2 linked regions of the Struthio camelus genome follow. The protein of the gene in region 1 interacts with the protein of each later gene in a biochemical or structural test. Links are inferred from orthologs where the notes say so. Each region holds a gene or a part of one and is shown on either strand. Other genes may lie near its edges.

Evidence for each region. The genes of interacting proteins can lie anywhere in the genome.
Region 2: the proteins of SPI1 (region 1) and IRF8 form a complex in vitro, tested with the Homo sapiens proteins (3 studies listed by BioGRID). The link is inferred for Struthio camelus from reciprocal best matches to the Homo sapiens genes SPI1 and IRF8.

Annotation. Positions count from the first base shown.
Region 1 is NC_090946.1:39,185,360-39,192,332, reverse strand, and holds the start of SPI1 (transcription factor PU.1), read right to left. Parts: upstream 3,006-6,973; 5' UTR 2,626-3,005; coding exon 2,581-2,625; intron 1-2,580. UniProt on the Homo sapiens protein: Pioneer transcription factor, which controls hematopoietic cell fate by decompacting stem cell heterochromatin and allowing other transcription factors to enter otherwise inaccessible genomic sites.
Region 2 is NC_090951.1:3,629,771-3,637,438, forward strand, and holds the start of IRF8 (interferon regulatory factor 8), read left to right. Parts: upstream 1-4,605; 5' UTR 4,606-4,823; coding exon 4,824-4,861; intron 4,862-5,775; coding exon 5,776-5,950; intron 5,951-7,071; coding exon 7,072-7,255; intron 7,256-7,668. UniProt on the Homo sapiens protein: Transcription factor that specifically binds to the upstream regulatory region of type I interferon (IFN) and IFN-inducible MHC class I genes (the interferon consensus sequence (ICS)). Can both act as a transcriptional activator or repressor.

The sequences.
Region 1 (6,973 bases):
CACAAAACTATTTGGGTAGAGCATAGCTGGCATTGGTTGAGAGAGATACAGAGGATTCAACTGAATAACAACTTGAAAATTCCTATTGTTCACTTAAACTTTGTCAGATGATTCCAGGTGATTACAAATGCATTGAATTCTGATCTTTTTTTGTTATCCTGACATAACTATTCGTTGGCATGTGATTCAGAAATACTCCACACAGTTTCCAATGATGTGCTGCTGAGACAAGTTTGAAGGCCAAGATTAACCTATTTCCTTGGAAAAATTTACAGTATAACTATTTTAGAAAAGATGAGTATAAATATTAACATGAGCACTCATTGGGCCAGCCTCACAGGACCACCTTGGAGGTGCACTTATGTGAAACAGAATGCTTATAAGGTACATTTTCGCTCTCATACAAATATATCTCCATTCCAAGCTGAGTACTACAGGTGGCTACTTAGGGATTCACAGGTAACCTGGGGGCCTCTTTAGAGGAAGGTGTTTGCTTTATTAGTTTTCTGCCCAGTAGCACAACTGATACAAGATTCTATTATGTATTAAAAGACATGGGCTCAGTTTGCAGGACTTTTCCATATAAAGTTCTTAATCTTCAAAGAAAGATGCAATAACTCTTAAACCATTTGAGTGGCACTTTTCAAACGAAGGTTAAGAGTCTTCTAGCATAGTCAAGAGGAAGGCAGTTACCAATCCACCCTCAACTGAAAGGGGAGGGGCAGAGGAGGGAAGTAGTGCTTCACAGAAACCCTGTGTCTAGAAACGGGCTAATGTCGCCCCTCTGAAGAAAGTCCCAGGAGGCACAGACTTTTATAATGATGCCATGTGGGGCTGTAACTGTCAGTACTCAGATCAAGTACATTTAAAACAATTTTGGAAGTACAAAACACAAAGCTTTCATTTTTGAACATATTAATCACAAAAAAAACCCAAAACAAATTGCCCTGTCAAGCATTCCTATAAGATGTGATTTCATTTTCACTGCCTGTTACCTCATTCACCTGAGCAGAGTTCAGCCAGAATACTTTTCTACAACAAAAATTAGAATATGAGCCAGACTGTGTTGGATTTTCACTCCATTTATTCAATCTATGCGCTGAACTTCAAGAGTGAAGAAATGGGACACAGAGGGTGGCTATGAGGAAATGAGTAGACAGAAAATGAACATTATTAGTAAAAATAATGGGAGATGCTAGTGGAGGACAAGATTTTTTCTTGTTTTTTTAAGCCCAACAAATAACATATTCAGAAATCTTTATGTAATGTTTTCATTTTCTCAGTTTCTTTTCAAATTCTTATCCTGACATATTTACAGTAGATCCACTGGGTAACTTGAGTATTTAAGAAAACAAAAGAAGTTTCTTAGGGTCTTCTCACCCTGCGGGTGAATAAAGGATTTCGTGGCCATGAGCTGATGAACTGCTAGAGTAATGGATTTCACGCAAATAAGTATTTTTTTATTCAATGTGGATACAAAACATGAAAGGAATTCAAAGGGCCATCTTTCTGTATAGAAAATAAAGAAACGTGCCTTTAGCTTTCATTAGATGGGACAAGACAAAAAGAAAGCATGATACAAATTTGATTAGAGTACTCTTGGAGTTGCACTGTCTCTTACTCTCTTTTCCGAACACACATAGCAAATACCATATGTCATCTACCACGTAAAAGGCCAAGTAAAACACCTTCTCTGACCATCTTTTCAGCTACTACGGAATTAGCAAATCTTGTTAGGGCCTATTTTACCCGTTCTATCTTGAGATGTCCCATTACAGTTTGTTTCTGAACAGCTGGTTAGTGAGATTATATACTTCACAAATAATAATCCCCAAACTGACCACAATGTAAAAGTGTAAAAATGCTGCAGAGCTAAAGAAAGAACAGAAACACTGTATAAACATACAGAAAAATTTGTAACTAGGAGAAAATATCGAAAGACCCAATTAAGGGCCATTTTATTTTTGCTCTCGCCACTTCACTACTTGCCTGAAATAGGAAAGTTTTCAAGTGCATCCATATATGTTCAAAATGATTCAGGGTTATTTCCTGGCTTATATTTTAAATAAAAGTCACAAAATATGCAATGTAAAATATGAGCAAGAGAAGCTAGAGACTAGAATTCTATCATTACAAAGAGCACAAAGACCTGAAGTCTGCAAAATGTAAAAGCAGCATTCGGCAACTCTTCTCTCATAGATTGGTAGATATTTAATACATAAACTATGTCAGAGTCTCAAAACTAATTAATAATTACAACCTGAAGCAAGACTTGGCCTTATACTGCAAAGGCAATAAGGAAGAAAAAATTTTACTGGCTTGCTATACGTATACCCTACAAAAATACCATGAGTTTAATCTTTGAAAATAACTGGAGATCAAAATCAGATACAAGTTTAGGGAGGAAATGTTAATTCCCCATTCATTGCAACGTTGTCACTAGCTTTATATATTGCCAACTTCCTTGCTGTACAAATACAGACCAAAAGAGAGACATTCTCAAATAATAAAACCTAGTTTACTTTGTCTTTTGCTACTGAGCCCAATCATCCATATTAGGAATAAACCCCATATACTCACAGGGGGAATGAGGGGAAATCCTTCCATTTTGCAAGCTTGCAACATTCAGCCAACTTCTGAGTGAATTTTTCTTAATTCAGTTTTCAAACATCCAGAATAACTGACTTAAAAAATCACATGAAACAAACAAAAAAACACAACGAAAGTGAGATCCTTGGACTCTCTGAAGTCCCCTTGCAGTAATGGATCTCAGGATTGGAGAAAGACCCTAACAAGTTTTCATAGTTTGCCCTAATAGGCTCTGAGGTGAACTTCTTCCCGAGTTGTATCTGAAGTTCCTGATTTTATCAAATGTCTGTAGAAGGGAGATAGCCCTTGGGTCTATCAGTGCGCTGTGACATCACAGCTTTTAGCCGGTTTGCATAAATCTCATTTCAAGGAGCTGCGGCACTGTAACAGGAAGTCTGCCCTTAGCCAGATCTGCCATGGGCAGGTGCTTACTTATAATCAGCAACCCAGAGCCCAGGCCTACTACCAATAAGCAAGCATACGGGTACAGTGTTCTTACTGACTGTGGAAGACTATGTGCTTCCCACTGGAGATGAACCATAATGATGTCGCTGCTCTCGGGTTTAGTGATGTAGCATAGAGCTACAGTCCTGACAACTGCTGTGAGAATAATGCAGTGGCACAGACTTGCTTTAATGATAGTCTTATGCTGGAATGAAGTGGCAGAAGGGGAAATAATTAGCAGAAGGGGAAAAAAGAGTATACAGTCTCAACTATCATAGTCTTTGGTTTCTACAGAAAATTAAAGCTATGCCAGTGCGACTTTCTTTACAAACTTGTTTATAAAGTGAAATAGTTCAGTGAAAGTCACTGAGTCCTCTTATTTGCTTTTTATGATTTCTTTTCTAGGTCCTGCAAGGAGAAAGCAAGTGGGCAACAAGTCCTATGTCATGGCCTCTACTTATCCCAGAAGAGTGCCTTTAACAGTGAGTAGAGAACAGAGCTGTAGAAGTGTATCTGAAAAGTCAGATACTGAAATTTCTCTTTCTTCTGCTCTTCTTCTTATGTGGTGTTTTCCCATCTCTTTATCCTCCTGTTTTGCTTGCATTTGGCTGCACTGAACATGTGCCTTTCTTACGAATGGTTCTGGCAGAGGCATGAGTGAGTGGGCCACAGTGCAGGATTGAGGGGCTGGGCCCTTGCAACAAGGGAAGAACTCTCTCACTCTGCAAAATGCTTTCTTGCTTTGCAGTTAGTTACTAATATTTTGGAAAAGTGAAGTTTCTTTGTCTGGGTTGTTCCCCTTCAATCTATGCCCATGTGCCACAGGTTCTGCTTTTGAAAGTAGCCTGCTCACCACTCACCTGGGTCTATGTCTGAGGGGGAATTTCAGCCACTGCAAACTTCCTCCCTCATACACTGGTAAAACCAGAGGCCACTCACAAGTTCCTCTCATTCCCCACCCTAAGGAACCCTACAAGCAAACCGTATTAGCAATGGGATAAGATTGAGAACATGATGGGAGATTAACTCTTGAAGCCCCAGACTGAATTTCATCAGCATTAGTTGATCCATATGCATTTCAGTCCTATTTTACTGATACCAAAAATCTTCACGTTAACCTAGAAATGAATAAACTGCTAAACAGTCCAGTTTTGTCTCTGAGGTAATTCTCAAGTCTCTCTTTCGATGCCAGCCTAGCAGATACCAGGTTTACCTGGCGGAACAGGAGAGAAGCAAAATAAAGTATTGATGATAAAAATCAATAAAAACAGAGCAGAAAGGAATGAACAGTAACATAAATAAATCTTAAAATGGATAATTGGATAATAGATGATAAAAGTCATTGTGGCAATTGTACGTATATTAAAAATGCTATTCTGAACAGAGAAGACATCTGACTCTTAATACACTGAAATCTACCTTAAACAGCTACTGGAAGGCATAAAAATGTAGTGTGTTCCAGAGAGGGTCTTTTATTAAAGTGTAACATAACTATATTTAATACACTGGAGGATATTTCAATGCTGTCTCTTAGCACAGGAAATTACCTAATAAGGATACATACTTTGCACCAGCTTTACTGTACTTAGGGACCAACATTAATGACCAGGAGTAATCATAAACATACCAAGGTTATCAACATAAATAATCAAATTGATTCTCTATGTAATGAATTAGAAGAAAATAAGACATCATAAAGCTTGAGGAACAGCAGGAAGTCCAGAAGTTGAATTAGTTTCCTAGGAAGGAGAGTATCTCCATAAATGGAAATGCTAATAGTTAAATAAAATGCTTGTTTACAGTACTGTATCTGTATAGGAACATTACTAGTAACAATCTTGCTAAAATTCAACCTAGATTTAACTGGGTTTTTATCCCCTGTTTGTCATCATAGAATTTTCTCACCCTTAAAAGAATGCCTACTTTTGGCCCAGGTCCTTGCAGTGCTTTATTTGATGACTTACACATAGAACAACAACATATGAAATTACCAAATTAGTAGAGAGGTGCTTATCAGATACAGCTTTAATACATTCTTGAACTACAGAATCTAAAAGAATAGTTTCACTGTTGTCTATCAAAATGCCCATCAAAAATATCTGAGTGCATATAAATAATTACCAGACTTTTTATATATGTCTTTTTTAGCCTATCTCAAGTCATTTTTATCACTTTTTTTTTCCCCTCTCTTTATAACTTATGTCTGAAATTCCAGGGTCTCTGTTAATAATCTCTGTTATTTACCCAATACCTAGCAGTTCACAAACCAATCCAGTTCCTATCCTGAGATGCTGTAAGGTTTTACTTTAAAAATAATATTTTTTTAAAAATGGAAAAAACTCAAACATGTTAATGAAGGAGAGTGTTTATGCAAATACATTCATCACTTACTGTAGTGAGATGCTTCCAGATTTGTTTGTTGTAATTCTAAATGCTTACCTTTATTCTAAAACATTTTGGTATGTCTTCAGTGCGGGGGCAGATTAGAGAGGCAGATATTGATTTAATTAATTACAACAGGCGGAATAAAGTTGCCTGGAAAATAGTATCAGTGATGCTGATTCAGGCAATAAGAAGGTCTGGCAAAAAGCATAAAGGTATTTACTGGTGATGAATGCTGGCAGAGCAAGTAGAGGAAGAAATAAATGAGATGCAGGGATGAGAACTATGTAGAGCCTTGAGGATGAGGACCAGTAGTCTGAACTTGATGCCAAAGCAGAATGGGAGCCAGCAGAAATTCTCGGAAGGGAAGGTGGCAGAAGAAGATGAGTTTAACAATATTGTTTGGAATAAACAGGAGGAAAAAGTAATTCGACCCAAGATACATGAATTTCTAAGCTATACTCTGTATGATGTTGGTGCTCCTCACAGAGTGTAATCTGACCTTTAAAAAGGCTTTTAAAGTAGGCTAGGGATCCTTTTCCATGATGGGAATTTGGGGGACTGGAGAAAAACCTGCTCAGCTGAAAGATTAAATTTCTGAAAACATTTAACTTTCATAGGACGAGAGGCAACAGCCACAAACTGAAACACAGGAAGTTCCATCTGAATATGAGGAAAAATTTCTTTACTGTGAGGGTAACTGAGTGCTGGAACAGGCTGCTTAGAGAGGTTGTGGAGTCTCCTTCCCTGGAGATATTCAAAAGCTGTCTGGACACAATCCTGGGTAATATGTTCTAGGCGATCCTGCTTGAGTAGAGAGGTTGGACTACATGATCTCCAGAGGTCCCTTCCAACCTCAACCATTCTGTGATTCTGTGATTTTAATCTGAGTTATTCTCCCCCTAAACATCACCTCACTGTGTGCCTCAGATACTTCTGAAGGCAGTTTTTCCCCTACCTCTACCCATTTATTCTTCAAACTATTTCTAACCACAAGCTACCAAAGCAAAAGGTTTTCAACTCACAGCCACATCACAAAGAGGTCCCTTTACCTCAAACCTTGTTTGGTGCTCACAAGGTACTTTTTCTCCCTACTGAAACCACATAAAACATCACTCATCCTGAAGCCTCTTAATCAGAAACAGGTGTTTACACAGACTCTGCTACTGAGTTTGCTTGTAACAGGAAGATCAGACCTCTAAACAAGAGATCCCCTTATATCTTGCATATTCTTCCCAGAACTGTTACTGTTGAACTTGTTTTACCCAGAGATCGCATGGCTTGTGGGTCTTACGTGTCATCCTTCAACCTTAACATCCACTCAGATGCCATGTGGGGTTTGCGCTCTTCTCTTAAGAGCCTATGGATCTCTCTCACTGTGGAATCTGTGGAGTCAGGGGCAGTCTTCTGCATTTAACTTTGTTACATATACGACTACTGAGTTGGAAGATATGAGTTGAAATATCTTTGTTGCATATTTCCATAGTGAGAGAGTAGGAACTAGAAAGGAGCTGCTGCAAGCTACCAGCTGATAAGAATTTATTACAAATTGTTCTCA
Region 2 (7,668 bases), on another chromosome or scaffold:
GCTCTCCGCTTCAGTGCTCAGCTCTCTTGTGCTCTGTGAGCTATATCGCCAGCCTGGTGGTGCCTCTGGCACGTGGGAATTGCTCTAGCGAAGTGCAAATGGGCTTACCAGGTTGTTCTCACCCAGGGAAGTAGTTTGAAAGAAATTCTGTGCTGCACTGCTTGCCCTGGCGGGTCTGTCTCAGCACTTTGCGTTGCCAGTGGCTGTCGGGAAGCCCGTGGCTGCCCCAGGGCATCTCCCACCCCTTCCAGCGCCACGGTTCCCACGCTGTGGGAGCGGGACCTGCGCTATTGCGCAGAGGCGGATTGCCCAAGCATCTGAAAAAGCTGCAATTGGGTTTTGGGGAGGCTGTTATTCCTGCCTCTCGGTGATCGCCCTCCTGCCGCCGGGATCCACCTTGCCCGGGGTTCCTCATCGTGTCGGCTGCCGCGTCAGCGGGGCCGGGCGGGGAGTGGGCTGCACATCTAGGGAAAGCGATCCAGGAGCGCGGCAGCCCCTAAGGCCCCTGCGCACTGCGCCGCAGCTGGAGAGGGCTGAGCTGAGCGAGGAACGTGAACCGCAGCCCTTGGCATACAGGGCTTTATTAAACCACGCCGACGTGATGAGGGAGTCCAGTCCTTTTGGCATAATAATTTGGTCGTGGTATGAAGCAGCGCAGCCACTTCAGCTTTGGCTCTGATTTTCCCTGTGCTTGTTATTTGTGTGGTTCTCTGAATTTCTTTGCAATTACTTCCAGGCTATCTACAAAGTCGTGCAACCAAAATGAAGCCAGAGGTGGTGGGACCAACCCTGTTGGCTGCAGGATTGCATTTAGTCCTACTTCTCTGCCTCCATCTCCTTGGTCTCCAGATGGGACAAAGGGATCGACAGGCTTCGTTATAGGAAACCCCTTTAAAATATCCCAAACATATCACATCTTTTTGAAAAGAAACATTTTTAAACTCTGATTTTCAACATCAGATAGAGCTGGGACCAGCTCCTGCCGTTGCCTCCCACGCTGGTTGCTGGCCGCAGGATGTGCAGGGCGTTCGGGGAGGCAGGACGGCGGGTCCCTGGTTGGGGGAGACCCCAACTGCAACGCTTAACTCAGCTCTCGTTGAAAGCAGAAATAACCGTCTTAACTGGATCTGATTGCAGGGGGTGTTTTTGACTCTCCCCACATCTCACAGGGATGTCTGATTAAGATCAGCTGGATGTTTAAAAAGATGGGCTAGTACAGCAGTTTCTTGTTAAAAATTACAGTAAAGGTCGTGTGCCTTAGATCATTGTTTTCATTATACCAGCTGTACCGCGCCATACATTTCCCATTTCGCTGTATTACCCACGGGGGAGTAATTATGGTTTTCTTCCAAGAAATGCGTGTGTCATCTGGTGATCCCAAAAATAAATAATAATTGGGAGGGGGGAGGGGGGAGACAGCAAAGCCCCGAACCCAGGCGGCAGATAGCCTGAAAGCTCTGCAAACGGCCCGGGCGGGGGTATAGGCACCGCAGGTAGCACTGCAAAGGGCCGTGGAGGTTTTGGTGCGGGCGCGCGGATAGGAGGCAGAAGAAATGCCTCCTAGCGGGTAAGAGCGGGGGGTGCCCGACGGGGCGGTGAGGGGCGGTGCGGTGCGGGTCCGCGCCGTCGAGGCCGCCCCCGCGCCGGCGCCCAAGCCTGATTTCTCGGAAAGGCGCGCGCTGCGGAGAAAGCGCCGGGCACCGCGCGCTCGCCATTGGCCGGCCGGCCGGGAGGGCGGCTCGCCATTGGCCGGACGGGCGGCGAAGGCGGGGCGGCCGCGGGCCCGCCCCCTGCGCCCCTATAATGCGGTGCGGACGCCCCGGCCGCGGGCGCTGGTGCGGTGCGGAGCGAGCGGAGCCGGCAGGTAGCGGCCGGGATCGGGGCCCCCTTCTTTCCCCCTCCCCCCCCCAACTGCCGCGGGTCTGGCAGCCCTGGGGACTCGTGTGAGGGATGCCGGGGACAGGGGACCCAGAGGAGGGGATGCGAGCTTGTAGGGACACAAGGGATGTGGGGTGCTGAGTGCTTGGGGGTTGTGAGATGTCGGGCGCTCGGGATGCGTGAAGTTGGGATGTGGGGCACTGGAGGTGCATGAAATGGGGTTGTGGGGCATTAGGGGATGCAGCTGGGGATGCACAGAATTGGAGTGCAGGGCGCTTGGAATGCATAAAATGAGGATGTGGGACATTAGGGATGTGCAAAATTGGGTTGCATGGCACTGGGGTTGCACAAATGAGGTTGTGGGGCATTAGAGTTGCAGCTGGGGATGTGCAAAATTGAGGCACTGGGACTGGGTGAAATGTGGATGCAGGGTGCTGGGGACACGGGGGCTGCAGGCTGGTTCCTGCAGTCCTGTGTGGGGAGGGGAGGCCTGTGACTGCTTGGTGCTGAGTGGTGCAGGGATCCTGGGCAAAGCCACCCCAGGGCCAGCTGGGAAGGACAGGATGCAGCCGGAGCATGGGCTGGGGAGTTAGCTCTGGCGCAAGGTCCAGGGCTATGCTCTGTGGTTGGGGAGGGGGCAGCGAAGCAGCAAAGGACCCGGGGCTGCAGGGATGGATGCAAACTGCCACCCTAGTCTTGCTGGGCATTGCGTGGAGATGGGGCAACACAGGGTGGCGGAGCCTTCCTCCCCGGCCCTCCGGCGGGGCCGGGCTCCAGCAACGCCACCGGGGCTCTGCTTTGGGCTGGCGGCAAGCAAGCGGCGTGCCGGCACCAGGTGGGCTCTGGGCGATGCAGGCACTGCCTGGGGAAGGCAGGTACGATCGCGTCTGGGAAGCCAGCGGTCAGGCCTTGTCACGCACCTTGTGTCGCAGGCGTTGGTGCCAAAGAGCTTGCCTAGCCTTTTGGCAAGGGGAAATGGAGCCCTGTCCTCTGCCAGTGATGGAAACAAGTCAAAATGAAGGGTTTAGGAAATACCCATTTGAATGGGAGTCTCTTCTAATTCATCCCGTTTTCTAGAAAGCATAACTCGGAGTGAGTTGTTTGGTGCGAGAAGCCCACTGCGAACGGCCTGTAGCTCTGGGTAGATGCTCCTGTGGGCGCTTTGGGGCACCGGGTTCCTGAAGGGGCCACTGGGACATGGAGCTGTGCCCCCATGTCGCTTTGGCTGTTGATGTTGGGAGCCTGGAACGTGGCCGTGTGCTTGCCCCTAAAAGCAGGGGCCAACCAGCCCCTAAAGGGCAGGGGCGGTGCTGGAGCTTCTGGCAGCGAAGCTGGTGGTGCCTGTGATTGCGCAGGAATAGGGTGGCCAAGATGGAAAAATGGACATCGGTAGGTGCTTTGCTGATGGGAGCCTTGGGCAGGGCAAGGTCCAGGTCCCAGGCTGTGCCGAGAGCGTCCTGGGAACATCCTGCTCCTCTCCCTGCCCCATGGGGTAGCTATTAAAAAAAAAAAAGGGGGAGGGGGAAGGGGATGAGGGGGATAGAGTCCCCTAACACTTAGAGAAGGAGAAAACTAAGCAACTCAAAGCCACAGGCCGGGTGGGTGGGGAGAGCGTGCCTCCGACTTGGAGCATTGTTAACCTACTTTACCGCTAGTGATGCGTCTCTGGGCCCTCCCAGTGCTGGGAATCTCCTGACTTCTCCCAAAGGCCCGGAGGGTTGGCGGAGGGACGCTCCTCCACGTCCCAGGGCTGCTCAGCTGGCGATGCTGGCTGGGGTGTGTGCTGCAAATTGCTTTTACATGATTGCTAGGTCCTGGACGTGGTCCGTGCTGTGAAGTCCCTGCAGGTCTTGCTGTGATGGGGGGGCACCTGGTCAGGCTGGGTTTGATGCTTTGCTTCCAGCTCAGTAACCTGGGTGCGCTTTTCTTGCGGGCTCTCCATAGCTACGTAGTCACCTTTGCTCCAAACGAGCCCAAGTCTGCAGAAAGGGTGGCTCTGTCTCACGGGTCTGTCTGTCCGTGGGCCTGCCGTGCTCGAGAGGATGTGGTTGTGTGACCCCAGGCGCCTTGGTGTGTGCTACCCGCCGTGCTGGACCGGCGGCCGCCCTGGAAACGCAGCCCTGAAGCACCTTCCCGGTCAGAGGGGACCTTGGCCACGAAACTGCTGCTTTGGGCAGGATGTGCGTGTGTAATGGGGAGGAGGATCTCGGGACAAATATGCTCAATTTTTGTTGACTTTGAGCGTGCAGAGCAGGTAGACTTGGGACCTCCTTGGTGCTTTGCAGCTGGTTTGCACTGCGGGATCAGGGCAGGTTTTAGGTGTTTTGTTTCTCCCTTTTCCTATCTGTCTTGTGCAAAGTCAGCTCTGAAGAGCTGGTACGTGAGCTCTTTGCGTACTGGCAAAGCCGACCCTCAACACCGGCGTTGGCTGAGGCGCAGCTGGCTCGAAGCTGGCAGCGCGATCGGGTGGCACCGGGCTGGGGACGCCGGTCGCCTTCAGTACAGCGCTGGGGCTGGAGTCCTGCGAGCAAGAGGAAACTCAGCTGCTAAGTATAGCACTGGGCTGCGTGCAGAAAAATGAGCTGACTCTGAAGTCCTCGCTGCTTTTGCTTTGAGTTGTGACTTAATCCTACTTCCCCCCCCCCTCCCCGCTAAAAGGGAGGGGGTTGCATGGGATGTGGGGGGATCTGATGCAGAAATCCTGCCCTTTGGGCCACTGCAAGAGATGCTAAAGGGCAGAGTGTGCCGATAGCTTAGAGCACTTGGTTTCTGTCTCTTATGGACCTAAATGGCCATCCACCCCAGGACAGTCTGTGCAGCGTCACTTGTTTAGGTGACAGCACAACCAGGCTCTTTAATTTCTGGCTCTGTAGCTCATGCACGACATGTCACACAGCCAAAAAAATGAGTAAACAGAGTCATTTTGTTTTCTGCGACCGGAGCACATGGGCTTTGATCAAAGGAGCTGGGAAAGGAATTTAAAGTAATTCAGATGAAGAAAAAAGAAATCCTCCAAAAATACAGCATGCTATTGTTGCCATGCCTACGCCGTCTCAAATAGAGGCGCTTTTCAGCAGCGCTTCTGGAGGGTCTGAACGGGCTGCTTGGGGCTTTCATCGTCTTCCTTATCTCTCTTGCAGGCGCTTGTCCAGCGCGAGGGGAGGAATTATCACATCAAAGATGCCATGCGGAAATGCTGGCGGGCCGCGTGCGTGGCTGCCGGCACGGGGAATTCCAGCTGCTGTTCTTGGTGTGCCCGAATCCGGGGAAACGGATACCAGCGAGCATGGCTGTCCCGGCCTCGGGCTGTCCGGGAGGGCTTTGGGGCAGATGATGGCCCTGCAGAAAGCTGTTTTCCAGGAGGGGAGGGTGCTGCTAAGGGGCTATTAGAAGCCGCTTGCAGAGATACTGCCTATATATATATAGGCAGTATTTTTTTCTCCTTAAAAAGGAGGGAAGCTGTAAGCAGCCTGAAGCTGTTTGTTGCTGCAGGCGTTGCTATTTCCAGGTGCAACCATGATGGACTAAAGCAGAGTGTGGTCACTTGTACCAAAATTGCTTTGCTGCTTTTTTTTCCCCCCCTCTCCTGGAAATCGCATTGCCGTCTGCAGGCTCTCTAGCAGGCTGATCCCCTGCTCTGGTGGCAGGGACTGCTTGTAGTCATGTTGGCTAAAAATACATATCAACATGGTAAAACACATCCGTACCCTAGTTCTTTCTAGAGAAACATGGAAATGTAGTAGCTCTTTTCCAGTGCTAACGGATAAGTCACTGTGTCTCTGTGCGGTTTTCCGTGCCACGGTAGCACCGTTGGGGCTGGGATAGTAGATATCCCCGCATAACGAGGTGGGATTACTCGGGGTGGTTTAACAGATGCCGGCGACGTCTCGCTTCCAGGATGTGCGACAGGAACGGCGGGAGACGGCTCCGGCAGTGGCTGATTGAGCAGATCGACAGCGAGCTCTACCCTGGGCTGATCTGGGAAAACGAGGAGAAAACCATGTTCCGCATCCCCTGGAAACACGCTGGGAAGCAGGATTACAACCAGGAGGTGGATGCCTCTATTTTCAAGGTAGGGCAGGATGGCTGATCTTGTTTTCTTGATCCCTGTGTGCCGTGATGCTGTTTTTTGTTGCTGACGGACTTGCCTTTGGCCGGTGATAAACATCCTCAGTTTCTGCAGATTTTGCAGATTTGCTCCTTCCAGGAGATGCCTCGCCACGTCCCGTTATGTGGGAATGAATCTCCAGAGGGCTTGTGTGGGGGTTGTTTGGATCTTTTCTGGCAGCTGCCTGATTTGGATTCATTTTCAGCATGTTCTCATTCTGGTCTGCTGTGAGGAGGAGCTGAGTATGCTCTTTTTGACCTGGTCTAATCTTCCCACGAGACTTTTTGAGGAAAGAATGGATCGACAAAAAGGCCTTAGGGGAAGGAAGGAAGGGTCAGCTTTCCTCGGGTGGAGAGACTTTATACTTTGGGGAGGGGGGAAACTGGAAAAGCCTTTCTTGAACCCAAAAGGTCAAAGTCTTTTGCAGGAATCCCCTTGCCTTCTACTTGCATCTCTAAATGTCTCCCCTAGCAGGTGGAGCTGTCTTTCAGGGCAGTAACAGCTAATTCAGGGCTAGTTCAGGAATGCCGAGCTATGAAGACAGCAAGGCTGTGTTGAATTCAGACATCTGAATATATGTGTGTGTATGTAAAAGTCTTCATTATTTGGTGGGAAAATGTATTTTCCCATTTTTTCCCCTCCTCTCTACCAAAAATTCAAAGAGCATTCGAATCTTAAAATAAACCAGCCTTCACTTACTACTTGGAAGCTGGGAAATAGACGTTTATTCTGATTTTAATTTGGATGTTAACAGATCGTGAAAACCATCACTACTTCAGATGGGTTTCCTTGTATCCCAGACAGCTTTCCCTCATCTGTCAGTGCAGGGGTGAAGTCATGTGTTACAATCCTGGCTCTAGTTTAAGCTGTGGTATAAAAGGCACTGGGCTAAATCTGGCTCACTTAGGCTGGCATAATTGTTTGGCAGAGATTTGGAGCATACGACTTAATGTCTAAGCTCTCTGGGGCTTTTAAATCTGAGTGCAAGAACCTCTGCTTCCAAAGCATAGAGGCACGTCCAAGCCAGTTAGCCCTCGGCGTTCAAATCTGCTTCTTCAGCTCTGGGCTTTGTGCTTTGCTCCTAGGCCTGGGCCGTCTTCAAAGGCAAGTTCAAAGAAGGTGACAAAGCAGAGCCAGCCACCTGGAAGACGCGGCTCCGCTGTGCCTTGAACAAGAGTCCTGACTTTGAGGAGGTGACAGACAGGTCCCAGCTGGACATCTCTGAGCCCTACAAGGTCTACCGGATCGTCCCAGAGGAAGAGCAGAAGTGTAAGTGTCCAGATGTGGGACTGACCCGAACGTCAGTTTGCAGCTGGGACAGGCCACAGCTCTCCTGCAAGTAACCGCAGGCGAAAACAGAAGTGGCCTCTTGCTGCTGACCTACATTTAGGCACTGAGCTGTGCTTCCTGGGCCGGGTCTTGCTCTCGCACCCCTGTGCTTTGGCCCCGGCACCTGGGGATGTGCCTGGCATCGCCACGTCGGCTGGCAAGGAAGGACGTGCTCTCTTTCCCTAAGAGCTGATCCTACCTGGAGTATCGCGTGAGCTCCTGTCCTGTAAGGATTCAGATGCTACTTGTCAGCAAAGAGAAAAGGAGAAAAGCCCTTGCTGAGATGTAAAGAGCCTCCCTGTGGGCTGCTGCAGAGCTCGGGATCCATCTCTCGCTCCATCTCTGCTGTCCCA